Canis lupus familiaris: one gene and its partners. The protein of the gene in region 3 interacts with the protein of the main gene of each other region in a biochemical or structural test. Links are inferred from orthologs where the notes say so. Each region holds a gene or a part of one and is shown on either strand. Other genes may lie near its edges. The genes, in order: DDIT3, KAT2A, CEBPB, CEBPG, RB1, EP300 and SMAD4.

Evidence for each region.
Region 1: the proteins of CEBPB (region 3) and DDIT3 form a complex in vitro, tested with the Homo sapiens proteins (2 studies listed by BioGRID and IntAct, with this or other methods). The link is inferred for Canis lupus familiaris from reciprocal best matches to the Homo sapiens genes CEBPB and DDIT3.
Region 2: the proteins of CEBPB (region 3) and KAT2A form a complex in vitro, tested with the Homo sapiens proteins (2 studies listed by BioGRID, with this or other methods). The link is inferred for Canis lupus familiaris from reciprocal best matches to the Homo sapiens genes CEBPB and KAT2A.
Region 4: the proteins of CEBPB (region 3) and CEBPG form a complex in vitro, tested with the Homo sapiens proteins (2 studies listed by BioGRID and IntAct, with this or other methods). The link is inferred for Canis lupus familiaris from reciprocal best matches to the Homo sapiens genes CEBPB and CEBPG.
Region 5: the proteins of CEBPB (region 3) and RB1 form a complex in vitro, tested with the Homo sapiens proteins (2 studies listed by BioGRID, with this or other methods). The link is inferred for Canis lupus familiaris from reciprocal best matches to the Homo sapiens genes CEBPB and RB1.
Region 6: the proteins of CEBPB (region 3) and EP300 form a complex in vitro, tested with the Homo sapiens proteins (2 studies listed by BioGRID). The link is inferred for Canis lupus familiaris from reciprocal best matches to the Homo sapiens genes CEBPB and EP300.
Region 7: the proteins of CEBPB (region 3) and SMAD4 form a complex in vitro, tested with the Homo sapiens proteins (2 studies listed by BioGRID and IntAct). The link is inferred for Canis lupus familiaris from reciprocal best matches to the Homo sapiens genes CEBPB and SMAD4.

What each region holds. Positions count from the first base shown.
Region 1 is NC_049231.1:1,963,493-1,967,484, reverse strand, and holds the start of DDIT3 (DNA damage-inducible transcript 3 protein), read left to right. Parts: upstream 1-1,192; 5' UTR 1,193-1,294; intron 1,295-1,973; exon of another isoform or gene 1,974-2,056; intron 2,057-2,152; exon of another isoform or gene 2,153-2,302; intron 2,303-3,992. UniProt on the Homo sapiens protein: Multifunctional transcription factor in endoplasmic reticulum (ER) stress response. Plays an essential role in the response to a wide variety of cell stresses and induces cell cycle arrest and apoptosis in response to ER stress.
Region 2 is NC_049230.1:20,651,115-20,655,401, forward strand, and holds the start of KAT2A (histone acetyltransferase KAT2A), read left to right. Parts: upstream 1-1,487; 5' UTR 1,488-2,197; coding exon 2,198-2,734; intron 2,735-2,873; coding exon 2,874-2,997; intron 2,998-3,333; coding exon 3,334-3,479; intron 3,480-3,590; coding exon 3,591-3,680; intron 3,681-3,962; coding exon 3,963-4,144; intron 4,145-4,265; coding exon 4,266-4,287. Other genes in the region: HSPB9 (heat shock protein beta-9), read right to left, coding at 821-1,282. UniProt on the Homo sapiens protein: Protein lysine acyltransferase that can act as a acetyltransferase, glutaryltransferase, succinyltransferase or malonyltransferase, depending on the context.
Region 3 is NC_049245.1:37,284,672-37,288,250, forward strand, and holds CEBPB (CCAAT/enhancer-binding protein beta), read left to right. Parts: upstream 1-1,239; 5' UTR 1,240-1,337; coding exon 1,338-2,378; 3' UTR 2,379-3,079; downstream 3,080-3,579. UniProt on the Homo sapiens protein: Important transcription factor regulating the expression of genes involved in immune and inflammatory responses. Also plays a significant role in adipogenesis, as well as in the gluconeogenic pathway, liver regeneration, and hematopoiesis.
Region 4 is NC_049222.1:119,619,417-119,622,916, reverse strand, and holds the end of CEBPG (CCAAT/enhancer-binding protein gamma), read left to right. Parts: coding exon 1-319; 3' UTR 320-3,324; downstream 3,325-3,500. UniProt on the Homo sapiens protein: Transcription factor that binds to the promoter and the enhancer regions of target genes. Binds to the enhancer element PRE-I (positive regulatory element-I) of the IL-4 gene. Binds to the promoter and the enhancer of the immunoglobulin heavy chain.
Region 5 is NC_049243.1:3,171,427-3,175,528, reverse strand, and holds the start of RB1 (retinoblastoma-associated protein), read left to right. Parts: upstream 1-1,302; 5' UTR 1,303-1,401; coding exon 1,402-1,529; intron 1,530-2,357; exon of another isoform or gene 2,358-3,251; intron 3,252-3,700; exon of another isoform or gene 3,701-3,786; intron 3,787-3,971; coding exon 3,972-4,098; intron 4,099-4,102. UniProt on the Homo sapiens protein: Tumor suppressor that is a key regulator of the G1/S transition of the cell cycle. The hypophosphorylated form binds transcription regulators of the E2F family, preventing transcription of E2F-responsive genes.
Region 6 is NC_049231.1:25,041,750-25,045,249, forward strand, and holds part of EP300 (histone acetyltransferase p300), read right to left. Parts: intron 3,200-3,500; exon of another isoform or gene 3,098-3,199; intron 2,927-3,097; coding exon 2,776-2,926; intron 2,658-2,775; coding exon 2,511-2,657; intron 1,957-2,510; coding exon 1,843-1,956; intron 1,100-1,842; coding exon 934-1,099; intron 173-933; coding exon 8-172; intron 1-7. UniProt on the Homo sapiens protein: Functions as a histone acetyltransferase and regulates transcription via chromatin remodeling. Acetylates all four core histones in nucleosomes. Histone acetylation gives an epigenetic tag for transcriptional activation.
Region 7 is NC_049222.1:24,020,640-24,024,139, reverse strand, and holds part of SMAD4 (mothers against decapentaplegic homolog 4), read left to right. Parts: intron 1-111; coding exon 112-286; intron 287-730; coding exon 731-760; intron 761-3,500. UniProt on the Homo sapiens protein: In muscle physiology, plays a central role in the balance between atrophy and hypertrophy. When recruited by MSTN, promotes atrophy response via phosphorylated SMAD2/4.

The DNA of each region.
Region 1 (3,992 bases), on a different chromosome or scaffold from region 3:
TCGGCCGGCCCCGCCCTGCGCAGTCGCGGCCCAGAGGGTGAGTGGGAGGGAGTGGGAGGAGGGTCGGCGGAGCCCGAGCCTCCGGTACGGCCCCGGCCGGTCCTAGCAGGAAGCGCCGCCGCCGCCGCCGCGGATCACCGAGCGGCCTCCCGCGCATGCGCCATGGGGGCCAGGGGCAGCCCTGGGGATTCCGTTCCCAGAAGGCACCGCGCAGGCTGCCGCCGCCGCCGCCGCCGTCGCTGCCGCCGCCGCCGCCGCAGCCGCCGCCGCCGCCGCCGCCGCCGCTGCCCGGACGGGAGAGGGGCGGGGCCGGGCCCCCGCCCAGCGGACAACGACGAGCCAACAGGAGGGGCCGCAGTGCGCATGCGGGAGCGCGCCTACCCCTCCCCCACAACCCCCCATTAATCCCCAAGAGAACAAACACCCCACGCGGCCCCCCCGCCCTCCGCGGAAGGATCTGAGCCTCTTCCCAGGCCACCGGCGGCCAATCCCAGCCCTCCCCGGGGAGGGGCCCCTTCCAAAGCCACAGTCTGTCGGGGGAGCCAGGAATGCCGGGTCCGGGAGGGGCCGGCCCCAAAAGATGAAAGTCGCGACTTGCCCTGCCCCGCCCCAAAGGCTTCCCGGGTAGTGTGCTGGGACTTGACCCGCCTCCCCAGGTCAACATGTCACAACAGGACCTCCGCCTGTCAAGTCACATGACCTCTGCCTGTCACTGACAACCTGGTCATGTCTTTGGGCCAGGAGAGACCATCTGGTCCAACCCACCCCCACCCCCATCTACTGAAGGGGAAATGGAGGTCTGGAGCAACGGAGCAGGCCCGGCCGAGGACCTGTCACCGTCACACCACCACCTAAACCTCCTTGCAGCCACAACCGGCCTTGTGACAGATTCTACTTAACTCTGGCTGCCCCCGTGAGGGTATGACAGTGAATACAACCGGCCGCCACATGGCATCTTTTTTCTCTCTAATGGCACAAGAAAAACGTTTGCATTTTAAGCGATGCTTTTCACTTTTGTTTAAGCTGCCTCCAAGTTCATAGTGCTCTCGTTTTACCTTCACAACTCGTCATCCTTTATTTACAAACAAGAACGGTTGTGGCACAGATATTAGGGGGCAAGTAAAGGGGCAGGTGAGGCCAGACTCTGGGCTCCTGACAACCCGGTGCAAGGCGGCTGCGCGCTCAAGTGCACCCAACGTCCCAGGCAACGAGGCTCTAAGGTCGCCCGAGCACCGAGGCGGCAGGCGGCGGGTGCACGGCTCCTCACGCAGGAGTCACAGGACCTGCGCGGCTGGTACAGCGAAAAGGGCGGGTCTTGATCCTTGGTGGAGGCACCAGAGTACGGGGGGGGGGGGGGGGGAGGCTGAGAATCGCGTCCACCGGGCCAAGTCCTGAATCCTGGCATGCTGAGCGCTCATCAGAAACTTCACAAAGATAAAAGTTAGGGGTGCTTTTCGGCGAGGAGCTGAAAATGACCATCAAAAGTACTCAAGTTCCTCGGCCCCTTCTGGGGGAATTAGGGAGCTAAACGGGATCTTTCTATGCGCCTACTCGAGGAGACGTTAGGCGGTCCTGTGGCTGCATGCAAACTTTCAAAAGAGATTGGCTTAGAAGACCTCGCGCCCACTAACTAGGAGGGGACCGAGCAAAATGGGAGCCCCCCATGCAGACGGCGAGGCGGGGGCTAACGCCAGGTGGGCGGAATAAGGGCGCCGAGGAGGACGAGCCGCAGCGCGGCTTCGCAGGCAGCCTGAGGGCGGCCACGGTTGGGAGCCGTTGGGGCCGTTGGGAGCCCGGCGCTGGCGCCCCGCCCTCTCCTCTCCCCCACCCCCCCGCACCGCCCACCACCCTCGTCGGCCCCTGCGCGTGCGCGCCGAGACACCGGTTGCCAAACATTGCATCATCCCCGCCCCCCTCTCCTCCCCTCCTCCCCTCCCCCCCAGCTCTCCCCTCCGCGCGCGCGCATGACTCACTCGCCTCCTCCGCGGAGCCTCGTGACCCAAAGCCACTTCCGGGTCCGACACCACCTCTACCCCCGGGCCGGCGGGAGCGAAGGGGGCGGCGCCGCGGGGGCTGCTGAGTGGCGGGCGCGGGGGGCGGGGCGGGGCCAGCGCCGGCGTGCCGCGCCCTGATTGGCAGGCTTGCGGGCCCGCCCCCGAGGGGAGGGCAGGGCCTCCTTAAAACATCCGCGCTCGGGCCTCCGAGGTCAGAGGCTTGAGTGTAAGGCACAGAGCGGATCATGTTGAAGATGAGCGGGTGGCAGCCACAGAGCCACAGTCAGAGCCGGAACCTGAGGAGAGAGGCGAGTACCGATCCCACCTGCTCTTTACCCTCTAGTCCTCGGGGATGCTGGTTGTCCCTTCGAAGTTGGGGCATCAGCTGCTCAGGATGCGGCCCCACCCGTTCCCCGACGAAGTTAGTGACAGTTCGAGGGAGGGACGGGGAGCATCCTTTATCCGGGAGTGGTGCTTACAGACCTCTCTTCCCTCGGACGGGAGCGGCGCCCCACCCTGCCCGGAGCGCGGGCCCGGCTCTGGGCCGTCGGGCTAAGGGGTCCGGATGCCCTCGGGAGACTCCCTGTCTTCCGCTGCTGCCCTAGGCCGCCTCCTTGGTCCTGTCCGGTGGGAGGCGGGGCGGCAGGACACTCCCCCACGCCGAGACGCCTGGATGGCTCTGGCTCACGCCCTTGCCGCCACTTTCCCACCAGCGGCCCTGCCCCTACCCCACCCCCAATCCTGTCTCAGCCCAGCGTCTCAGGGCCAGAGTGGCCACGTCGGTGGATGGAGCTCCTGGGTCCTGCACAGGACAGCCATTCCACACCCTAACGGAGAAGAGAACCTTAAGGAGACAGACTCCAGACTTTGGGAGGAGGAGGGATGCCAATGGCTAGGGAGCAGAGATGGGTTTTCCCATTCCCCCAGAGGTCCCGGGGGCCTCCTGCACAAGAGAGCATTCTGGATCCCTTAAGTGTGGGAAGCCATTTGGGGTCTCCCCAGTGTAGGGTCCTTCCGCAGGGATTTGTCCCTGCTGCTTTCCCCGCGTCCTGCCTCCCAGCTAATTTCTGTGTAACCGTTGCATCAGGCCAGCCCCCTGTTTGGCTCTGCAGCCCTCTGGCCTGGGGCCCCACTGCTGATGAAAGCGGCATCCCACACGCTGGAAGGCAAGGAGGGTCCCCCAGGGAGGACAGCCCTGAAGAGAAACACTCTGGGAGATATTGCATCTCCAGTCCCCAGGGCTGGGCAGCTGCTGCTCTGCCTCTGGGCTTCCTCCTCCCTTCCCTATGAGACACTGGGGAGAATTCTTTCATTCTTCACAAATTACTTATTACACACCTGCTATGTGCCACACATTTTAGGCCCAGGATGCATCTACGAACAAGGAAAAGACCTGTTCTCACAGAGCTTACATTTCGTGGGAAAAGGTGCACAGCGAACAAATATAGAAGTGCCAAGGAGAAAACCAAAGCATGGAAGGGTAGTGAATGCCCAGGATGTTTACCTTGAGTCATTAGAGATTCTCTCACAGAGGTGACATTTAAATGAAACTTCTGAAAAGAGGCAAAGTAGTAAGCTGTGCAGATTTGTGAAAGGAAGAGCTTTCCAGGAGAAAGAACAGTGAGAACAGAGGTCCTAAGGTGGGAGTGTGCAGAGTTTAGGGAGCAGGCCAGCTGGACGGACTAGAGGGAGAGTGGTCAATGAGAAATCCAGGGCAGGGAAGGAGATTGTGTGGGGCCTTCTAAGCCATATTAAGGACCTTTAGCCTTTAATATTCATGAACTTTAGTCCTTGAAGAGTTTTGAACAGACTGACAGGACCTGACTAGAGTTTTAAAAGGCTCACTCCAGGGATCCCTGGGTGGCGCAGTGGTTTGGCGCCTGCCTTTGGCCCAGGGCGCGATCCTGGAGACCTGGGATCGAATCCCACATAGGGCTCCCGGTTCATGGAGCCTGCTTCTCCCTCTGCCTGTGTCTCTGCCTCTCTCTCTCTCTCTCT
Region 2 (4,287 bases), on a different chromosome or scaffold from region 3:
CCTTGTCTTTCTCTGGCAGAGTTTATCAGACCATATCCGCTCTAGCTTACTTGAAGTTAATTTAAAATGAACCACTGCATCTTGTTGAACAATGGCTTCCCTCCCTCCCCCAAAGTGAGGGGTGCTAGTGGTTATGGTAACCAAGAGAAAGAGGCCCTTACTGGTACCAGCTGTAAGGGGGTGGTGGTGGTGAGAGTGACCTAGAGCTGAATCTCCCCAAGTTTGAAATTGAGGGCTTGTATTAGCCTTGCCCCCACCCCCCTCCAGATTATATTGGGGTGATGTGCAGTTTGTATTTGAAAATAGTTGGTCTCTGAAACAACAGAAACCACCTCTTGGGGTTTTTTGGTTAGTCTGTACCTTGTGAAGGACTGGGTCTTCTCATCCTCTTCCCAGGTGATCTCTGGAACCTTTGCCTGGTCTTCAGACCAAGAGACCACCCCACATCAAGTCCAGTCTTTGTATCTATCTGATCTCTGGTCTGCCGGGGCCCTCTGCTGGTTGTGGAGCCTGGTGCCCCCGCTGCCATCCTGGCCCTCTGCTGCTCCCTGCTGGAGCTGCTGCTGTCATTTGCCCAGCACAGGGCTGTTGGTCTACTGAGCCCCGGACCCAGCTCCTCCCGGGGCCACAGAGGCCTGATTCTTGTTGGACCACCACCGTAAAGTGCTTTTCCTGCCTCCCTAAGCCCTCCACTGGCCCTCTCTCTACCTCCATTATGCCTCCACCTTTGATCCCAACCCCAAGAAAAGACCACAGAACACCAAGGCTGCTGCTGCACACTAGAATTGTTGTTTACTGGGTCAGGGTAGGTTGACCTTTCTTAGAGCCATGGCCTCGGAGTCTCGGGGATGGGCCTTTTTGGGCTTCCTGGGAAGGCAGCGCCCTGGCACTGGCCTCCGACGCACAGCTGGCCGGAGGGGGTCATGCTGCAGGTCACGGCAGTGGGATCCAGGTCCGGTGGTAGTTGGATCTGCCGATGCACCCTCTGCGCCACACGGTAGCCAGCCCCATCTGGGCTGCAGCCCTCCAGTTGCCTCTGGCCGGTCACCATCAGACATTGGCCGTCCACTTGCACCACCAGCTCCTCCGGGGCAAAGCCACAGGCATCCACCTTCATCTGGAAGCCATTCTCTGCATGGAAGTTGTTCTGCGCAGTCACCACATCGTCCCTCAGGAGCCGTACGGGCAGTGTGGCCACCTGGTTCTGTTGGGCAAGGGCCACGCTGGGACAGCGGGATGCCACCTGGCTCCCGCTGGGGAGACCGCTACCAACCCGCTGCATCCGACTGAGCAACTGCTGTCCGAGGGCGAGGGCGCGAGGCCCTGGGCGTGGCTCTGGGCGCTCGGTGGCGGCGGCGGCGTGGGGGGGGGGGGGGGCGGGGGTGCGGCTGCGCGCCCTGGGGAGAGGCCCTGGGGCGGCCTGGCTCCTCCGCTCCTCCGCGGCCGCCTGCTACGCCAGTCCGGTCTCCGCAGGCCTGGTGGTCACCGCCCTGGCGCGCCACTGCTGCTCTCATCCTGGCTCCCGGGGCGGTGACCCACCAGCGCAGACCAGCCGACCCTGTAGCGCTCACCAGCGCAGGGCGGAGGCGAGATGGAGCCGGGCTCTTGCCCTTCCCAGAATCAGGCCTGAGGACAAGAAGGGCTGTCCCCTGAACCGAGCCCGGGGGTGTGACCGTGAGGGTCTTCCATCCTGACCGCGCACGGTCTTGTGACACGGGGCTTAGGAGGTGACCGCGACTTCCTGGTTTCCTTCATTCGTCAGACTCTGGGTCTACTGTGGCCGCCTGAGGGCTGGGCTCTGGGACAGAAGGAAGACGCGAACCCTGCCTTCAGGCGCTCACGGCTTTTATGATAATCCTTTATTGCTGAAATATAACATAATAGAAGAAGCGCACCAGAGAGTACCACTGAATTATCCCCCAGAGAGCACCCCCATGTAGCCACCTCCACGGGGCAAGAAATGGAAGTGTTGCTTCTTAATCTCCGCTGTGGCTGCACTTCCGTGTCCGCAGACGTGTGGGACAGGGACAGGGGGTGGAGGGGCGGAAGCCAACACGACCCCGGGCAGCATCTGTGATTCCCCTCAACAGGAGCCTGTTTTCTCAGATGCTCCTCCAAGTCCCCAAGAAAACGGCAATCCTCGCTATCCCATAAGACTTCAAAGAGATTAGAAGTGAGGAGGAGACAATCTAGGGTAATGGCTCAGGCTTCACTTGCTTGTCTGGGGCCAAGAGGCAGGACAGAAAAGTCTGGAAGCCAGAAACGGAGGGAGCGGTCGTGGAAGACTACAACTCCCATCATGCTCCGGCGCAGCGACGCCTGCGCACCGAGCGCCGGTTGCCCATGCGGCCCTAGGGCTAGGAGCGCCGCGCCGCGCTCCGCTGCGGGGGAGGCCATGGCGGAACCTTCCCAGGCCTCGACCCCGGCTCCGGCCACGCAGCCCCGTCCCCTTCAGTCTCCAGCCCCTGCCCCACCTCCGACTCCTGCCCCCAGCCCGGCTTCAGCCCCGACTCCGGCTCCCACTCCGGCACCAGCCCCCGCGCCAGTTGCAGCCCCAGCCGGCAGCACAGGGACTGGGGGTCCCGGGGTAGGAAGTGGGGGGACCGGGAGCGGAGGGGATCCGGCTCGACCTGGCCTGAGCCAGCAGCAGCGCGCCAGCCAGAGGAAGGCGCAAGTCCGGGGGCTGCCGCGCGCCAAGAAGCTTGAGAAGCTAGGGGTCTTCTCGGCTTGCAAGGTGGGGGCGGGGCCTGGGGTGAGAAGGGGCGGGGCTTGGGGCATCCCAGGGCTCCGGTGGGAATGGGGGCAAATCTGTGGCTGGGGATCGGCTCCCCGTGCCCGGTTACAGGGCTATTGACCGAGTTTTCTAACGCCAGGCCAATGAAACCTGCAAGTGTAATGGCTGGAAAAACCCCAAGCCCCCCACTGCACCCCGCATGGACCTGCAGCAGCCAGCTGCCAACCTGAGCGAGCTGTGCCGCAGCTGTGAGCACCCCTTGGGTAAGGCAGGTAGTGCCCTTGGAGCTGGGGCGGGGGCAGGTCCTGGGGCCTGCTTGGACAGGATAATTTAAGTGCCACTGAGTTTTATCTTTGGAACCAAAAATGCCTCCGAAGGAGGGATTGGGTTGGGAACATGTATCCCTCCCAAGGGAAGAGAAAGGAAATTTGCCAGCCCGGAATAGACAGGGTCCACCCAAGGCTGACATAGTAGCAGTCAGTCTCACTACTGGTCATGCTGTTTGGAGCTACCAAGGTTGTAAATTGGTGATGAAGAGTGAGAGAGAGCTCTCGTCATCTATCCTTTCTTTCCAATCCTACCACCTTTCCTTCTTGCAGCTGACCACGTGTCCCACCTGGAGAATGTGTCAGAAGATGAGATTAACCGGCTGCTGGGTATGGTGGTAGACGTGGAGAACCTGTTCATGTCTGTTCACAAAGAGGAGGACACGGACACTAAGCAGGTCTATTTCTACCTCTTCAAGGTGAGCTTCATCCAAGTGAGTGTGAATGAGCAAAGGAGGTGGGGCTGGACTGGGGAGTTTGCAGCTCTGAGCTCCACTGACCTCTACTCCTCCCTCTTCCTCTTCCTCCAGCTCCTGCGGAAATGCATCCTGCAGATGACCCGGCCAGTGGTGGAGGGCTCCCTGGGCAGTCCCCCATTTGAGAAGCCTAATATTGAGCAGGTGGGATGAGGAAGGTAGTAAGAGAATTGGGGGCATCTTGGAGGAGTGAGGAGCCTGTGTTCCCCATCTTCCTCAAGCTGAGAACAAGGGACAGGTTCAGAGAAGGGAGGATGTTCAAGATGGGCATGGGGCTGGGAAGGGGGCACAATTTTTCTTCACAGAGAGCCCGAGTGAGAGGGGAGCTTTAGCCTGCCCTCAGGAAGCACCAGATTTTGTATAAGAAACCCCTGCTGGCCGCTCACGTCTCCTTCCTGGTCTTGTTCCCTACCCACCCCTTCTCAGGGTGTGCTGAACTTTGTGCAGTATAAGTTTAGTCACCTGGCTCCTCGGGAGCGGCAGACGATGTTTGAACTCTCAAAGATGTTCCTGCTCTGCCTTAACTACTGGAAGCTTGAGACTCCTGCCCAATTTCGGCAGCGGTCTCAGGCTGAGGATGTGGCTACTTACAAGGTCAATTATACCAGGTAGGGCTGGCCAAGGCCAGCGGGGGGTGGGGGAGGGGGTAGGGGTGGGGGTGCTTGTGCTCGTAAGCCCAACCTGGGTTTAGTGTCTCCATTCTCCATCCTACCTCCCCTCTGCCCGCAGATGGCTCTGCTACTGCCACGTA
Region 3 (3,579 bases):
GCAAAAAGGTCTTAGGGTGCTCTGATAAGAGCTTTTAAGACTAGTGGGGGACATGAGGCCCTGTGACCTTGGGTGTCCTATGCCCCCCCCCCCCCGGGCTTCTTTGTACCCTGTGGGAGGGAGGTGGCTTCTTTCTGATGTGCCTCCCAGAGTGGACCTCAAACTTAAATTAAGCCTTCTGTTTGGGAGTCCGTGGTGGAGACAATGATACAACTAATAATAATAACCGTAACAGCACTTTCATGGAAGGAGCTTGGAGTGAAGTGACTCGCCCAAGGTCACGCAGCGTGGCCGCCGAGCACCCCCCACCCACCCCCTTCCACCTCCCTGGGCCCAGGTCAGGGTCGGGTGGGGCCAGAGAAGACCCAGGTGTGGTCTAAGGGGGCGGGCAGGGCCGGTGGGCGGGGCTGGGGGCGGCGCAGTCGCCGCGGCCGAGGTCCCGGTGGGGCTCTCCCCCGAAGTGCCCCCCACCGGGGTCCTTGCGTTAGACGTGCCTTTAGGAGGGGCGGGGGGCCTCCCCCAGCGTGGAATCCCCTCCTTCCGAGGGCTGGGGTTGGGAGCAAGTTTTGGGGCGGGGAGGGGCCGGCCGCGCGGGGGAAGGACGGTGCAGGTGGGTCACCTCTCGGGGGGCCGGGGCGGGGCCGGGGTCTCCGGGATCCGGCCTGGGGAGCGCCGGCCTCCTCCGTGGGGCGTCCGGGCGGGCTCGGCGGGTCCCGAAGCCTCCGCCGCCTCCAGCAGGGGGCGGGCGGCGGCCGTGCTTCGGGAGGGGGAAGGCGGTCGCGCTGCCCCCTCCCCGCGGCCCCCCCGGGGCGGCCTCCAGCCCGGAGGGGGCGGTCCGGGGGCGGGGTCGCGCCGCCCCTCCTCGCTCCCAATCCCCGCGCCGCCGGGTGGGGGTGGGCAGGGGGCGTCAGGCCGCCCCCCCGCGGGCCCGCGGACCCCCCGAGGGCGCGCCCCGGCTCTCGGGTCGGGCCGCCGGGCCCCGCCGGCGCCCTCGCGGGGGTCTCGGGCCGCCACCCCGCGTCCCGGCGGCGGCGGGAGGGGCCGGGGCGGCTGCCAGCGTGACGCAGCCGTTGCCATGGGTCGCCTTATAAATAACCGGGCTCGGGAGAAACTTTAGCGAGTCAGAGCCGCGCACGGGACCGGGAAGAGGACCCACGCGAGGGTCCAGCCGTCAGCCCCCGCACCGGCAGCGGCCCCCCGGCGGCAGCGGCCCCCCGGCGGCAGCAGCGGCGGCGGCGGCGGCGACCCAGCGGCCACGGTCGGAGCCGGGAGGCCGCGCCACCTGCGGGCCGGCCGGAGCGGGCAGCCCCAGGCCCCCTCCCCGGGCACCCGCGTTCATGCAACGCCTGGTGGCCTGGGACCCAGCATGTCTGCCCCTGCCGCCGCCGCCCGCCTTTAAATCCATGGAAGTGGCCAACTTCTACTACGAGGCGGACTGCTTGGCTGCTGCGTACGGCGGCAAGGCGGCCCCCGCGGCGCCCCCCGCGGCCAGACCCGGGCCGCGCCCCCCCGCCGGCGAGCTGGGCAGCATCGGCGACCACGAGCGCGCCATCGACTTCAGCCCGTACCTGGAGCCGCTGGGCGCGCCGCAGGCCCCGGCGCCGGCCACAGCCACGGACACCTTCGAGGCGGCCCCGCCCGCGCCCGCCCCCGCGCCCGCCTCCTCCGGGCAGCACCACGACTTCCTCTCCGACCTCTTCTCCGACGACTACGGAGGCAAGAACTGCAAGAAGGCGTCCGAGTACGGCTACGTGAGCCTGGGGCGCCTGGGGGCCGCCAAGGGCGCGCTGCACCCCGGCTGCTTCGCGCCCCTGCACCCGCCGCCCCCGCCGCCGCCGCCGCAGCCCGCCGAGCTCAAGGCGGAGCCGGGCTTCGAGCCCGCGGACTGCAAGCGGAAGGAGGAGGCCGGGGCGCCGGGCGGCGGCGCCGCAGGCATGGCGGCTGGCTTCCCGTACGCGCTGCGCGCCTACCTCGGCTACCAGGCGGTGCCGAGCGGCAGCAGCGGGAGCCTGTCCACGTCCTCGTCGTCCAGCCCGCCCGGCACGCCGAGCCCCGCCGACGCCAAGGCGCCCCCGGCCGCCTGCTACGCGGGGGCGGCGCCGGCGCCCTCGCAGGTCAAGAGCAAGGCCAAGAAGACGGTGGACAAGCACAGCGACGAGTACAAGATCCGGCGCGAGCGCAACAACATCGCGGTGCGCAAGAGCCGCGACAAGGCCAAGATGCGCAACCTGGAGACGCAGCACAAGGTCCTGGAGCTCACGGCCGAGAACGAGCGGCTGCAGAAGAAGGTGGAGCAGCTGTCGCGCGAGCTCAGCACCCTGCGGAACTTGTTCAAGCAGCTGCCCGAGCCCCTGCTCGCCTCCTCCGGCCACTGCTAGCGCGGCCCCCGCGCGCGGCCCCCCGCCGGCCGGCCGGCCGCCCGCTCGCTCCGCCCGCGCGCCCGCCCGCCCGCGCGCCCGCCCGCCTGCCCGCGCGCTGCCGGCCGCGCCGCGGGGACCCGCGCCCCCGCCCCCGCCCCCGCCCCCGCCCCCGGGGCGCCGGCGAAACTTTGGCACCGGGGCGCTTGGCGGCGCGGGGAGCTCGTCGGTAATTTTAATATTTTATTATATATATATATATATCTATATTTTTGTCCAAACCAACCGCACATGCAGACGGGGCGCCCGCCCGTGGTGTTATTTAAAGAAGACGTGTCTATGTGCACAGATGAGTGACAGGCTCGCTGCCTCCCCTGCCTCCTCTCCGGGCGCCGGCGGGCGGGCCGGTTCCGAAGTTGATGCAATCGGCTCGAACATGGCTGAACGCGAGTGTACACGGGACTGACGCAACCCACGTGTAACTGTCAGCCGGGCCCTGAGTAATCGCTTAAAGATGTTCCTACGGGCTTGTTGCTGTTGATGCGTTGTTGTTGTTGTTGTTGTTGATGTCGTTGATGTTGTTGTTTTTTGGTCCTTTTTTTTTTTTTGTATTATAAAAAAAATAATCTATTTCTATGAGAAAAGAGGCGTCTGTATATTTGGGGATCTTTTCCGTTTCAAGCATTAAGAACACTTTTAATAAACTTTTTTTTTTTTTTTTTTTTTTTGGAGAATGGTTAAAAGCCTTTTGGGGGCAGTAGTTGGCTTTCGATTTTTTTTTTTTTAATTTATTTTTTGGTTTAGATGATTTTAGATGTGCTTTCCTGGATGGGGGTGTGTGGGGGGGTAGGGGGGGGTGGGGTTGTTGTGTGTTGGGGGGTTTCTATTATTTTGGGGGTTTTTTGGTGGTTGGGTGGCGGTGTTAACAGCTGTGTCGTGTGTGTGTGTGTGCTTTTTTTTTTTTTTTTTTTTGGTCCTCCCTCCACTGCTGCTCCCTCCAGGGTCTGTGCTTGGAGGTGGGGGATGCCAGGTTTCTGGGGCTCTCAGGGTGACTCAGCGCCCCTGAGTGCTGGGGAGGAGTGACCCGGAACCCTGCTTGGGAAGAGGTCGGCTTGTCCCGAGTGCCAGGCTTGAGTTTAGAGGGAGGGACCTGTACGTCTGTGACCTCTGTAGGGTCCGGTGTTTGGGGGATCCGGCTAGCAGGCCACATTATGTAGGAAGA
Region 4 (3,500 bases), on a different chromosome or scaffold from region 3:
CGTGCCCCCAAGCAAGCAGAGCAAAAAGAGTTCGCCCATGGATCGCAACAGTGATGAGTATCGTCAGCGCAGAGAGAGGAACAACATGGCTGTGAAAAAGAGCCGCTTGAAAAGCAAGCAGAAAGCACAGGATACGCTGCAGAGAGTGAATCAGCTCAAAGAAGAGAATGAACGGTTGGAGGCAAAAATTAAATTGCTGACTAAGGAGTTAAGCGTACTGAAAGATTTGTTTCTTGAGCATGCACACAACCTTGCAGACAACGTGCAACCCACTAGCACTGAAAATACAACAGCAACTTCTGATAGTGTGGGACAGTAGACCTCACTCACCCCTTCCCGACTTCACGACTTGTGGCTTGAACGCTAAAGGTGTGACTACCTGCACCGCTCGCATCAGTGGCCGAACATTGTCTTGTTCATCATTCAGAGATCCACTGAAGGTTGTTTTCTAGGATCAGCACTGAAGAGTTGATTAGCTAAAAATGTTAGCCATGTAATTTGGATATCTAGTTTTAAATGATACGATTTTTTTTGTGGGGATAAAGCAAATTTTTAAGGTATATGGTAAAAAGAAAACCAAAAAACCAAGAGCCCTAGACCTTGATGTTCTTAATAAACCCTCACTTCCCAAGAAATGCTTCTTTTTTAGGTTGATAAAAGGAATGGGGAACTAGCAGGTCCTGCAGGAGGGTCTTGGTTTTATTGGAGATGATTAATTAGGCTAAGAAAAGTTGAATGCCATCTATGTTAATGTATTTGTGATTTTTTTTCTAAATTATGTATTAAAAATCCTTAGGGCTCTAGAAATCAATCACTTTGTAATTTGGAGTGATTTTATGTATGACGTGAACCTTGTTTTAGCCTAATTTGTTTTCCCCCAACAAGTGTAGTTTTTGAGTAGCAGTGCCAGGTTAAGTAAATTCCATTGTGTTTTAAGGCAGTATATATCCAGTTGGCTTAAAAATACAAATAATTAGGAGGCAAATAGGTTTCCTAAAAATAAAGGTAAAGCATATTAGAATTATGCTTTCAGGATACCTTTGGGTTATTAGATTCGCATTATTTTGTTTTATAACAACAAAAAACCCCCAAGAGTTTAGAGATAAACTTGTGTACCAAAATTTTTGTTTCCAGTAAGTGAATATTTTTAAAATACCATTTTGACAGCTAAGTTAGTAGACAGATGCCTTAACAGTTTAGTAATTGGGATTTAGGTAGTTTCTCCTGTGTCTAAATATCTGCAATGGGGCCATGATTTTTAAAGGCAAAAATTTCTTTGAAGGATCATTTGGCGTTTGATCTTAACCAAGTGATTATTAGAACAATATATCATCGACTGTATGCCGTCTCCCAAGATAATAGTCTAAGAAAACTTGAAAGCGTAAGGTCTAACCTTTAATTTATTTCATTTAAATACATCTTTTTATATTGTTCTTGTGACGCTTCTTTTTCTAGTTAGTGGGCTCTTCTAGACTTTTTGTACCACTGCTTCTGTTTGTTCATTTGTATGCTTTTGTGTCCCATAAATTATTTTAGAAAGAAAATACTGATAAAACTCAGGATAATGACATTTTTGTTGAGACTAAAAAAATGGCAATCACAAGTCGGGGATCGCTAGGGTCTGGTTCATAGCAGTGTTGGTGGTTTTGATTGTTCTTGTAGATTTCTTTTTTTCTTTTTTTTTTTTAAAGCACAATTCTAGCTCAGATTTGTTGGCATTTGTGTGTGTGTGTGTGTGTGTGTGTGTGTGTGGCTGGGCTGGTGACAAGAGGCTGAGTCCCATCTGAGTAAAAAAGTGTGTGTTACCAGGTATCTAATTTGAACATGGCCACTTATTTTTTGACCATATGGTTTCATACTAGGGCCTGGAACAGTGTAACCAGGATGTAACCCGAGTTGCACGTTGGGCTGGTGCAAGAGTGCTGTCTGTACCCCTGGGGCAGGCGAAAATACCACCGTGACCTGCAACTCAGCAAAGCCATTATTGCGGCCATGAGCCTCTGCCGCATGTGACTGGAACCCAGTGTTGTTCCGTGAGAGCTACTGTCCCAGGAGGGGTGACTCCCTGGAGTGCCAGGAGGCAGGATGGAGGTTTCTGTTAGGGTCCAACACCAGTTTACTTCGGCTGGAGTATCAGTCTACTTCTGGGTTGACAGATATTTTGACTAGGAGGTAACCCACAGAATCCTACTGAATCTTTAATAGCTGATTGATGTTATATAATTAACCTAATTAGAGGTGCAGTTAGGTCCCCCGAATTTTTAGGCTCCACATTGTAGTCCCTTGTTCACTAAAAAAATGTCTTTCAGAAATTGTCCCTATGGAATTTATGGTCACCAGTTAGGTGAACTGACTTAACTGTCTTGGAAAAGCAGCTTCAGGGAAATCGTCAGGGGTGTGCACTTGAGATTTCAAATCAGAACATTGAATTGAAACTTCTGGAACAAATGGTTCACGCTTTCCGGTTACCGTGCACATCAGAACTTGAGCACAAGCGGTCACGTGTGCATCGGACAGAAGGGTTAACCGTCGTCTTGATTCTCACTGAAGTGTCTGGGAATGAAAGTTTTCAGTTTGATAGATGTAGGAGTATCACTGAGGGAAACCAGGTGTGGGGGATGGGAAGTCTAGAGCTTTGGGATTTATAAAATGGCTTTTGTAAGTCCTGTAGGTCACACATATGACCCATTAGGCTTTGATCTGCCTTTGCCGGCAGGTCCAGTGGTTTAGGAATTAGGCTTTTAGGGTCAATGTCTGGCTGCATCTGAGTCCGCGATGGAGGCGGGTGCTTTCCGGCTGGTGTTGGCAGCAGGTGGTGAGGTGGGAGCGGCTCCTCTGCTGTCTGGCCCCTTTCGGTGGCTGGAATGGGAGCTCAGAGACTTTGGACAGTCTTACTAAGTAGTAGTAAGATCCTAATAAAATATGACCGGATTTTTGAAATTTAGGGCCACAAGTGTGACACTCTGCAGTTCACGATGAAAAGTAGTATGTGCAGTTTAATATTTGGTATTAAATCAGCCTCCGAGGTTTCTCAGTCCCCATGACAGGGCCTGACACTTTGTACCTGAACAACCCAGTTAGCACTCAGCGTGCTTTTTTCGATGCCTTAGAGATAGGAAGCAACTTTTCTGTTTGACAAAAGCTCGGGAGGGGAAAGTCCATTCTATAGCTGTTAGACCTCCTCTCAGGAAAAAGTCCTCAACTTGTTCCTTTTTTTTTTTTTTGTTCCTGGCTTTCCTCGGTTTGTGAGATTACTCTATTTTTTTAAATATAATTTTATTTCTTTCAATGAATTTGAAATAAAAAAAACTTTGGAATAATGACTATCTCACTGTGGGTTTCTTCGTGTTGGCATCCCCTGCAAGCAGTCCAGGGGTCCCGTAGCTCGGAAAGGCGGGCGGTGCTCGGCCGTCTCCTGGCCCCGGCCCGGGGCAGGGCGGCAAGAGGTGCGTTTGAGCCTAGATTTCCCCGTACGTTCAGGGACATCATCTCTGAGGAGA
Region 5 (4,102 bases), on a different chromosome or scaffold from region 3:
TCACTGGTTGAGGCCCAGCACGCGCCGGGCACACAGTGGGCGCTCGTCCCGCGTGGGCCGGGCCGGGCCGGGCGGGCCGGGCGGGCTTGCATTCATTCAGCTGCCGCTTTTTCTCTGAAAATGCCCCTTACAGTTTGCCGGCCCCTCCCGGTTCTGTGCGCGCGCGCGCGGTTTTTAAAACTTCGTTTACGGGGCAGCCCGGGCGGGGGTGGGGGGTGGCTCACCAGCGCGTGACCCCGGGGTCCCGGGTTCGAGTCCCGCGTCGGGTCCCCGCGTGGAGCCTGCTTCTCCCTCTGCCTGGGTCTCTGCGTCTCTCTCTCTCTGTGTCTCTCATGAATAAATAAATAAAATATTAAATACAATCCTGACTTAAAAAAAGATGAAAGTTCATTTACTCCCGAGGGACACCCGGAGAGGGCGATGCTCGGACGCGGGACGGCGGGCGGCGCCTGCGGGGGGCACCGGGGGCCGCGGCGGGCGGGCGCTCAGGTCCTCACCGGCTCTGCCCCCGGCCCCGTCTGCGCGCGCAGGTCCCGGAGGGCGGCCGTGCTTCGCCCCGCGCGTCCCGCCGTCTCCCGGCGTCGCCAGCGTTCGCGGCCCGGGGGGCTCCGCAGACGGTTGTTTTTGTTTTGGCGGATCCGGCGGGGCGGATTGGGCGGGAGCGGGAGCGGGGGCGGGGCGGGGAGGGGCGAGGGGGCGGGGCGGGGAGCGGAGGGCGGTCGGGGACGGGGGGACGGGGAGACGGGGAGAAGGGGAGAGGGGGTCGCAGCGCGGAGGGGGCGGGGACGCGGGGGAGGCTCGGCGGGGGCGAGCCGGAGGTCGCGGGGCGGTGGGAGGGCGCGGACGCGGGTCGCGGGGGGGCGGCGCGGAGGGGGCGGGGAGGGGCGGGGAGGGGAGGGGGCGCGGCGGGGCGGGGCGGAGGCGGCGGGAGGGCGCGGCGCGCGGCGGGGTGTCGCGGGGCGGGGGGGCGCGGCGGGGCGTGCCCCCGGGGTGCGCTCGCTAGATACGGCGCCGCCGCCGCCCGCCGCCGGAGCGGGGCCCAGGGCGGCGGGGGTCGGGCCCGCGCCGGGAGAGGCGAGCGCGTCCCGGGGGCCGCGGGGGTGCAGGCCCCGCCCGCCGCGCGCCCGCCGCCGCCCCGCGCCCCCGGAGCGCCCCGTCCGTCCCGCCGCCGGCGGCCCCGGAGCTCGCGGACGTGACGCCGCGGGCGGAAGTGACGTTTTCGCGCGGCTGGCCCGGCGCTCGGTGGGCGGCGGGAGGAGGGCTCGTGGGCTCCGCCGGGCGCCGCTCCCCGGGTCTGCGCGCAGCGGGGCGGCCCCGAGGTGCGCCCCCCGCCCCGCCCCGCCCCGCCCCGCCGCGCCGCGCCGCGCCGCGCCCCGCCCCGCCGCCGGCCCGCGGACAGCCATGCCGCCCAAAGCCCCCCGGAGGGCCGCCGCCGCCGCCGCCGAAGCCCCGCCGCCGCCGCCGCCGCCGCCGCCGCCCGAGGAGGACCCGGCGCAGGACAGCGGCCCCGACGACCCGCCTCTGCCCGGGTGAGCCCAGAGCGGCGGGGGCGGGCGCGGGCGCGGGCGGGGGCCGGGGCGGGCGCGGTGTCGGCGGGGGCCGGGCGCCGGCTTGACAGGTGTCGGGCGGGGGGGGGTCGGGCGCCCGCGCCCGGTGACAGGTGCCGCCGCCGCGCCCGCGGACACGGAGCCGGCGGCCGACGCGGCGGGGGACGGGCGGCCTCCCGCGGACACGGCGGCGGCGACGCGGCTCCAGGCCTCGGCACCGGGCAAGCCCCGCGACGCGCCCCGCTGGAGCGCCGCTGCCTGCCTCCGCTCCCTCTCCGTGGTCCCCCTGCACAGCCTCGGTATCCGTCTTCGGCGCTTTGCAGCGCTTCTTCCATTTTGCCTTCCAGCCCGGACACATCCTCGCGCCTGCTCTTGTTTTGTTTCGCTTGGGCTGCAGAGTTCGTGAGCTGCCCGTGCTCACAGCACACTTCTCCCCCCCCCCCCCCCCCCCAGCACCAGCACCGCCACCAGCACCAGCACCAGCACCACCAGCACCAGCACCAGCACCACCCGCACCACCACCAGCGCCACCACCAGCACCAGCACCACCAAGTGGTCTCTAAATTTAGGCGACTACTGTGATAATACAGTAGAACGTGACAGGGAGGACTTATTCTGTTGCAGCATCCTATTTTTCACGATCGTGGTACTTTATGGTTAAGAACCTAAGACTGAAAGACTATGATTGCCATTATTTTTGCCAGTCCTGGTTCCACCACTCTGAGAGTACCTGTTTTTTGTTTTGTTTTGTTTTGTTTTGTTTGAGAATGGGATTGCTTTCTTTTCCTCACCGCTTCCTCACCTGTTCTAGTCCATTACTAAGCCCTATTCTTTGAACTTGCTAGACACTAACAGGGTTCAGATAGATTGTGAACGATTGGAATGGGCTTCTGGGATGGCCTGTGAAAAGCTGTTAAAAATACATATGTTGAAATGGGTTGTCTTACAGGTCAGTTAAAAATCACACTCGCTAATTGGGGGGAAAAACAGTCAAGCTGTTCTGAAAGCAAATTTAATTTCTGATTAAGCTCTGTTGTGTCCAGTACTTGAACGTTTTCATTTGGAAAAAGCAGTAAATCTACTCTATAAAGAGTTCCATGTTTACCACGGAGCTTTGGAAGCGTCCTCTGGATTATTGTAGGGTAACCAGAAATATTCAAATTAGGGCCCCCACCTGGGAAAAGAAGGCCTTTCTTCCCCACCCCAACATTGCATTATTTACTTTTAAATGATGGAACTATAAAAAATTTTCCTGTAAGTAAAACCATACAGGATACACTCCACTCTTGATTAACCATACCCCCCGAAAGGTTTTGCTAGTACGGGCAGTTGAACTGTGTAGACTAGCTGCTTAGCAAGGGTGAAACTAGTGCCTGGCAATCCAAAGCCAAGCGTCCTGCTTAGGGATGGATTCAGGGCCCGCTCCACCTGCATTTTCAGTGATGGAATCTGTCTGTACCTTGAAGCTGAGATCTTCTCTCTGTTGCATTATATCTGGCCTAAGTGGGAATGTTGGAAGGGAAACCTTCACTAGGAGCAAGAGTGCACCCTCCTTGTTGACATGATCAAAGTTAATTACGCTCTGAAGGAGGTTTACCAGTCTGGCATAGTGGTCAAGGGCATGGATCATGGAGTTAGACTTGGGTTTCCCACTTACTGGCCATGTCCTCAAGTGAGTCCTTTAACTTCTTATTTGGTACTTGTCTGTAAAACAAGGATAAGAGTACTTATCTAGTAGGCCCATGTGTGGATTCCACTGAAACTATACATTTAAGATACTTTATTCACACAGGCTCAGAGTAAATACTCAAAAATTATTAGCTATTCCTTATATTATTATTAGGTGTCAAATAGACATTAAGAGAATGAAAGGGAGCTAGCCAACAAGAAACTATTGACTACCTATCTTGGGTAAGGAAGATCGAAGAGAAAAGGCTGAAATAAGAATAGCAGGAATTCATGTTAAGTTTCTTATTACGTGAGAAATGCTTATAGGTAGAGAGATTATATGAGACGTTGATAAGCGTAGACTGCATTTTAGCAAAATTGCTGATACTAAATTGATTCTGCAATATCATAAATGGGCTTTCTTCTTTTTGCTCTTATTGTCATCCCGCTTTTCCCATACAGCGTTAGCTATCATACTTACTTACTTTTCCAAAGCTATTTTGCTGTTCTGGTGTGTATGTGATTCAGGCCAACAAACATCTTTCACTGTGTTGTATATTTGTTGGAAGGACTATGAAAAAAATAAACATTTAAATTCTGTAATTTTTTTTCAAAGATAAATAAGATTTTAAAGTACTTAGTAATGCCTTTTTTCAGAATAATGATGTTTGTTATATGCAAACCATTGAAGCAAATGTTTACTTTTAGTTTGATTTCTAAATATATCCCCATTATATGTCTGTTTTTATCTGGTAGGCTTGTGTTTGAAGAAACCGAAGAACCCGATTTTACTGCATTATGTCAGAAATTAAAGATACCAGATCATGTCAGAGAAAGAGCTTGGTTAACTTGGGAGAAAGTTTCATCTGTGGATGGAGTATTGGTAA
Region 6 (3,500 bases), on a different chromosome or scaffold from region 3:
CCCTCACATCTGTGCTCTCGTTGCTGGTGTTTTCTTCTCGCTTTCGCTCTTCTTCCTCCTGTTCTAGCTCCTTAATGCTCTCTTCCAGAACGTTGGGCCAGAAATCACCCTCAAAGTAAGGCAACTCCTTTGCACTTGTTAATCGATCTTCAGTAGCTTGTTTAAAAATATCCTGTGAAAATACCAGGTACAAGTAGGAATTTGGTTTTTTTTTTTTTTTAAAGAAGCATTTATCATTCAGAAGCAGTCACAGCTAGCAGACACAAGAAACCTGAAGGATTATAATGTCTTCTGAAAGAAAGGCAGCAGAGAGATTTATACCTAAGCCCCATGGCCCAGGGGGACATTTAGTCTTAAACAGTAAAAACTCAAGGTCTGAGGTCAGTGGTTCTGGTTCTGTCTTTCCTCTGCCTGTGAGGATAGGGAAGTTACCTGCCTTTATAAAGCCAAGTGGGACATCTTCCTGCGAGGACTGATGGCTCAGGCCCCATCAATCACGCCGCAGCCTTTACTATTGCTGATGACACAATGCAATACAATGTGAGGAATGCCTGCCTTGTTCCCATCACCCATCCCCTGACTGAGAAATATGTTCAAAACAACCCAAACCACAAATACTGGAAACTGCATGGCCACAGGCTGCTCTGCTCTGCTGCCTGGGAAAACATCCAGTTCTTACTTTTCTCCCCAGGAGTAAAAACAGATAAGAAACTTATCTGTTCAAGTTCTTATCATGAGATGCCCTCTAATCATGAATGGCTATTAAGAATACGTTTTTCATCACATCTTTAAAACAGAGATTTGTTGATCTAAGACATTTAAAACTGAGTTTTTCTTGGTTTGAAAAAGGGAGTACAGAAGATTTTTGTTAAGATAGTCAAATAGCAGAATACAGAGCTGCAGGATCAGTCATCGCCCCCCATTCCTCCTGACCTTGTAGTCATGGACGATTCGCTCAGACACAGCCTTGTCAAGCATCTTTTTGTACCACTCCTGTAGTCGCTTGGGCTTGGGTATCTTCTGGTCAGGAGGATGGCAATGGAAGATATAGTCGTCTCCCTCACTTGGGGGACATGCCCAAATATGTCCTGTTGTATATCTAACAACACAAAGAGGGGGAATATTCAAGAGAAAAGTTTATCATCTATTCCAGAAAGAATGCTACAACGTGGAGTCAATATGGAAACCAATGATTTTTTTTCTAAGACAATATCAAGTGTACAACCCAGAATCAGATCGAAATTCTTAGGCCAGATTCAGGCCTAACCTACAGCACTTACAATGGGTGTCACATTGCCTAGTTCTTCTTAGAGGCTAACCCTGGATTCCCAAATCCCAAATTTGCATGTGAAGACAAAAGAAAAGCTACAATGCAAAGGAACATGGATCCATTCCAACAACACGGAACAAGGAATGGAAGAAAGCTAAGTGATAAAAGGAAGAACTTGCAAGGTGCGGTAGTGAATGTTCTCAAGCACACGTATACCCTGAAGGTAAAGAATCAGGCTAATTTGAGTATTTCCAGACCCTAGTCTATTTTGGTTCTGATACCTAGGTATGAGAGGGTCAACTGCAGTTCAAGGTTCTGGCCCTGAATGAGTACCAACCTTCCAATCAAACTGTACCTAACACCTTAACTGAACAAAAGAAAACTAATCTGGGATAAGTATGACTAGGGTCAACATATCCATTTCTGTCCGACTGGCAACACTGAGAAAAGGGAACAAAGTCACCTCTCTGCTTTAATCTAAGTTTCACCACAATACCACAGTGGTAATTAGTTAAAAATTTAATTAGTTTAAGCTCATTGTTTTTAAAGATAGCATTTGTCAATATGCTTACCCTAATTTCTTGACGTATTCTAAATATCCAATTAGAATTTCATGATAGACTGCAGTCCTCAAGCATTTAGGACGGAAGAAATGAACACTGTCAAGGTAGGATATGTAAACTCTCCTGTATCAAGTGGGGAGAAAGAAACCATGTCAAGTCACATAAGGAGTTCTTACTAATATGGCTAAAAACACAATCTCCTCTGTGCTCTTTTTCACCTCATTTATAATACACATCACACAGTCACAGTTAAGTACATGACTAGGCTGTGCACTCTTTAGGAGAGTCTGGTGAGCCTCAGTACCCAGCAGCGCTTGAAGCATAGTGTATTAGTATTTATGGATCCAAGTGTATTCTGGTAGCATTCTTATTCTGGCCTTTATACTATTTTGGAAACAAATTCTAAACCATATCCTAACTTTACTTGTGTGACATTCTTTCACATTATCTCCCAGGCAAGGCACCTAACACAATCAAGAATTAAGCCCATTTTCTGAAAAACAGTCTGCTTCCCACTTCTCATTTCAGGCTGTTTGATACTCCTCCTTATTACTATGAACACAGTTTGCATTTCCATTTCCAAAGCAAGTACATCAAATAGTTCCTTGCCCACAATGCTTTTTGCCTATTGAACTGCAAACTCCCACTCAACTGGAAGGCAGTGGGCCAAGTCCTACCTCTGGTTGGGTGGAGGGCAGTCGGAGCCATACTCCTGAACGTGCATGCCGAAGAAGCACAAGTCAACACCGTCTATCTCTTCAAAGGCAAAGAGGGCTTTGGTTCGGTAAGGAAAAGACTCTGCCATCTCTCCGCTATCTACAAACCTACATAATCCAGATTGGAAAGAAAAACACGAGGTCTCAGTTAAACCAGAATCATCAGCAATTAACTGTCAAGTGCTTGTAGAACCACAAGAGAAGAAAAGGGAAAATTATTGGATACCTTGCTTTCATGCCTGGTTTCACTTCCACAGTTTTATCAGAAGCATGCACTACCCGAACAGTGACTTCTCCCGACTCAGGGTGATTCTGACGTCTAAGAAAATCATTCACACGATTCTCCAGAAAGGTGCCAAGCCTGGTAGATGGCAACCCTAGAAGTGCAGAAGTGAAAAGTTCTGCAGTTAGCCAAGGTGCAAATTCATTATTGTTAACTCTTAAGCTTCAATATCAAATATCATTTTTGTATTCTCCGTCCAAATAGGATAACCTGATTTTGTTAAAAGTTAGCAATGTGATCAATACTTGAAAACCATCGTTTTTTAAAAAATAGGAGCTACTTCATGAATTTGTGTGCCATCCTTACATAGGGGCTATACAAATCTCTGTATCATTCCAATTTTAGTATATGCGCAGCTGAAGCAAACATGGTAGTGAATTTTAGGTGTTTTCCACCCAACTTTTTACTTGGAAAATCTTCTAATTTCAGAAGTCACAAAATACAACATCCACATGCACTTTGGCTTGATTGCAGTGATATTTTAAAATAACAATGGTTGGATATTATGAGAAGCCTTATAGGAATAAAAAGCAATCTGTAGGTCAGTAAAAACTGCAAAGGTATCCACAAAATTAAACCAAATATTATAATGCAATAATCTCGACTGTATACAGGATACAATCTTTTTTTTAAGATTTTTATTTTACCTATTTGACAGAGAGAGAGCT
Region 7 (3,500 bases), on a different chromosome or scaffold from region 3:
GTCTCTGCCTCTCTCTCTCTCTCTCTCTCTCTGTCTCTCTGTGTGTGTGTCTCATGAATAAATAAATAAAATCTTTTAAAAAATCTATAAGTGATCATTTATATTTCTTAGGTGGCTGGTCGGAAAGGATTTCCTCATGTGATCTATGCTCGTCTCTGGAGGTGGCCTGATCTTCATAAAAATGAACTCAAACATGTTAAATATTGTCAGTATGCATTTGACTTAAAATGTGATAGTGTCTGTGTGAATCCATATCACTATGAACGAGTTGTATCACCTGGAATTGGTAAGTAGACTTTGCTTTTATCTTCAGATGCATGAAGGGAAAAGTTCTTGATACTGTTTTAATTTTTCTATGCCAAATTATAAATTTGGATAGAGCCAGGACTTCAGCTAAGGTTAAGAATCAGATATTTTTAATGAAATATAAATATTTAAATTTAAACTTTAGAATAGACTTGTATTTTGACTGCTAAAACTAAGTATACACTATAGTTCATGTTCTGCTCATCTAGAATATTGGTTTTGAAAAATAAGGTGGAAGGCATTATAGAATTGAATAGTTTATGTATCGTCAGATAGCATTTACACTACTACTCTTGAGTTGAAATGGTTTGTGAAGTGTTGAATCTCTGGGTTAAATTTATACTTTGTAATTTTAAATACAGTGGAAAATATTTTCATGGTAATGATTAATGTTTCATTTTCTTTTCCCTTTTAAAAAATTAAGATCTCTCAGGATTAACACTGCAGAGTAATGGTAGGTAATCTGTTTCTTGTAACTTTCTCTGTCTTCTTTATCCTGTTCCCTCTATTTTTTATTGACCTAAAATTAGTTTGTATGGATGCTGGTAATATTTACAAGAAAAATACTTACTGCTTTGGAAATCCAGTTCTTTGGGAGCACACATCAGTATTTAAAACTGAATTTAAATAGCCTGGTGGTTTGTTGAACTACCATTTATGCACTGGAGTGACCTAAAAAATATGATAGGGGAATATAAAACATATGAAGAAAGAATATTTTTTGAATTGATAAAAACTGATCATTTTGGAAGAAAATCTTACAGAGCCAATTTAAATGAATATAAATACCTATAATGTTTGGTAATTTGGAGTCATATATAGCATGTCCTTTAAGAAATACTAATATTCTAATTTTTCTTTGTTTTTCCCTATTTTTTATGAATGATAATTTTAAGCATGATTTAAAACTACATATGTTAATATTTTTTTCTTGTTACATTTTTGAGTAAATGAAACAAGGCTACTTTAACTTTCATAGATTATCTAATTCTCTTTTAAAAGAGCATGTTTTGAGGTAGGGAAATGAAATCAATGAGGGGTGGTGTTTTTTAGTGTAATATTTGAGAACAGAGATCTGTTGAAACTTTAGTTTTATTACTTAGAATATGAACTAAAATTTTTGTAAGCAGTTAATTTGAAGAGAAACTCTGATAAAGAACCACCATTATCTTAGAAAGATGTGCAGTTGTTCTGGAGGAACAGTGGGTTGGTACTTGTTGCAGAATCTTAGAGGTGGGTCAGAAATACATCTAACCTTAAACAAAATTTTGGAAGAGCTTGAAAGTCTACTTGTTTTTATAGTTCACCTTTCTTCCATGTCGCTATAATAGAGGAAGACTCCAGTCCCTTTTGGTACTTGTTACTGGTTAGTAGGTTTCTGAAAACATGGATTGGTAATGTGGTAGTGGTCTGGAAGGGTAGCTCTAAGATTGGTTTAAGTCTTGCCTCTTTACTACAATTTACATTAATATTAGTCTTCTTTTTTCTTTGAAAGTAAATACCCTTCAGATCTTCACCATTCTCCACCCATGCTTTTGGAGAATTAAAGTATTTAGCTCAGCAGGGGTTAAGGATTGGGGGACTCTAGTGATATCTATATCAGAATCTCCTTAGTGGGAGTGGTTGTGAGGAGATCCAGTTTTGAAGACTCATTACACTCCCCCCTTATCCTAACATGTTGCTGTTATGAGTAGCTATCTTTGGTCATCTTTGGTCAGATTGTGTGTGGGGGTGATAGGCTCTTTTTAGTAGCTCTAAGGGTTGTTTTAGCCTTGCACATCCCCCTAGTGGTGGTTTGTAAAGGCCAGTTTCAGTGGCTTATTTCCTTAAAAAACAACAGGTGTTTTCCACATCCCCATCTAGATTTGGACAGAGTAATAATATAAAGCCAGGTAAAGAAAAAGTTAAGAAAATGGGATAACTCCTTCACTTTTGAGTTGGAATCTTAGGGTAATCATTTCCAGCCTATTTCATATCTTCTGTGAAGCTTTCCATGACCACATCAGTCTGCATATTCATTTTAAGAGATGTTTAGTGAGCATGTATTGCTTGGTACTGTGTTAGGATCTAGGGACGATAGGATAAGTAAGGTGTGTTTTCTCCACACTAGGTAGCTAATAGTTTAGTGGAGGAAAGACAAAGTAAATAAGACAGCAATAGCATCAGACGAGTGCTGTGCTCTGCCTGCTGGTGGGGATAAGAACACTGACTTGGGGTGAGTCCAGTGGCTTCAGCTTTTCTGTCCCTTATACATTTCTTACCCCTCATAAAATATTTTACAGTTATATGTATGACTGCTGTAAAAGTATGGTTAAAGCATAACAGCTGATACTTGATAAGTACAGACTTTTTGTCCAGAACTGAGCTGTACGAGTTACAAGTATTGCTTCATTGTTCTCGTTATACTCCCACATGGAAGGTGGCATTATCTACGCTTGATGAGATGAAGATCATGATAGACAGGAGGAGCTGGAGTAATGTGTCCTCGATATTAGATATTTAAACAATAAAAAAATATTGGAAAAAAATATTGTAGTATAAGTTCCATGAAAGAAATTTTTCTTTTCTTTATTCATGTGTCCCAGGTACTAGAACAGTACTCAATAAATATTTATTCAGTGAATAAATTTGTTGAATGCTAGTCCATAAAGAGAAATAGCTAATAGTTTGGTGTCTGTTATTCTGGACTTAAAAAATATATACTATATGTTTTTTTAATTTTATTTTTTTGAATAGGCAATACATGGTCCATAAATCAAAATACTATAAAAAGGTATACAGTGAAAAGAAGTGCTCCCACCCCTGCCCCCATTCCCCCCTACCTCAGGTAATCACTTTTATTAGTTTCTGGTGTTTCCTTCCAGGGTTTCTTTATGCAAAAAAAACATGTATTATTTCCCTCTTTTTCTTACATTAAAAGCATATTGTGCACTTGTTCTGGACCTTGCTTTTTTAATTACAGAATGTGATTTTTTAAACATGCATGTGATCATAGTGTACAATGGTGTTTTGTAACCAACTTTTTTTCTCTTGGCAAAAATATTCTGCAGATATCTATCCTTGATACCTATAGTTTTACCTAAGGGACATGTTTTAAGTTATTTGATTGAAGACACTTGCAGTCGGTAGAACTCTCAGACTTACATTGGGGAAGGTTTATTCAGTGTATTAGGCGAGAGAAGGTTATGAGGCGT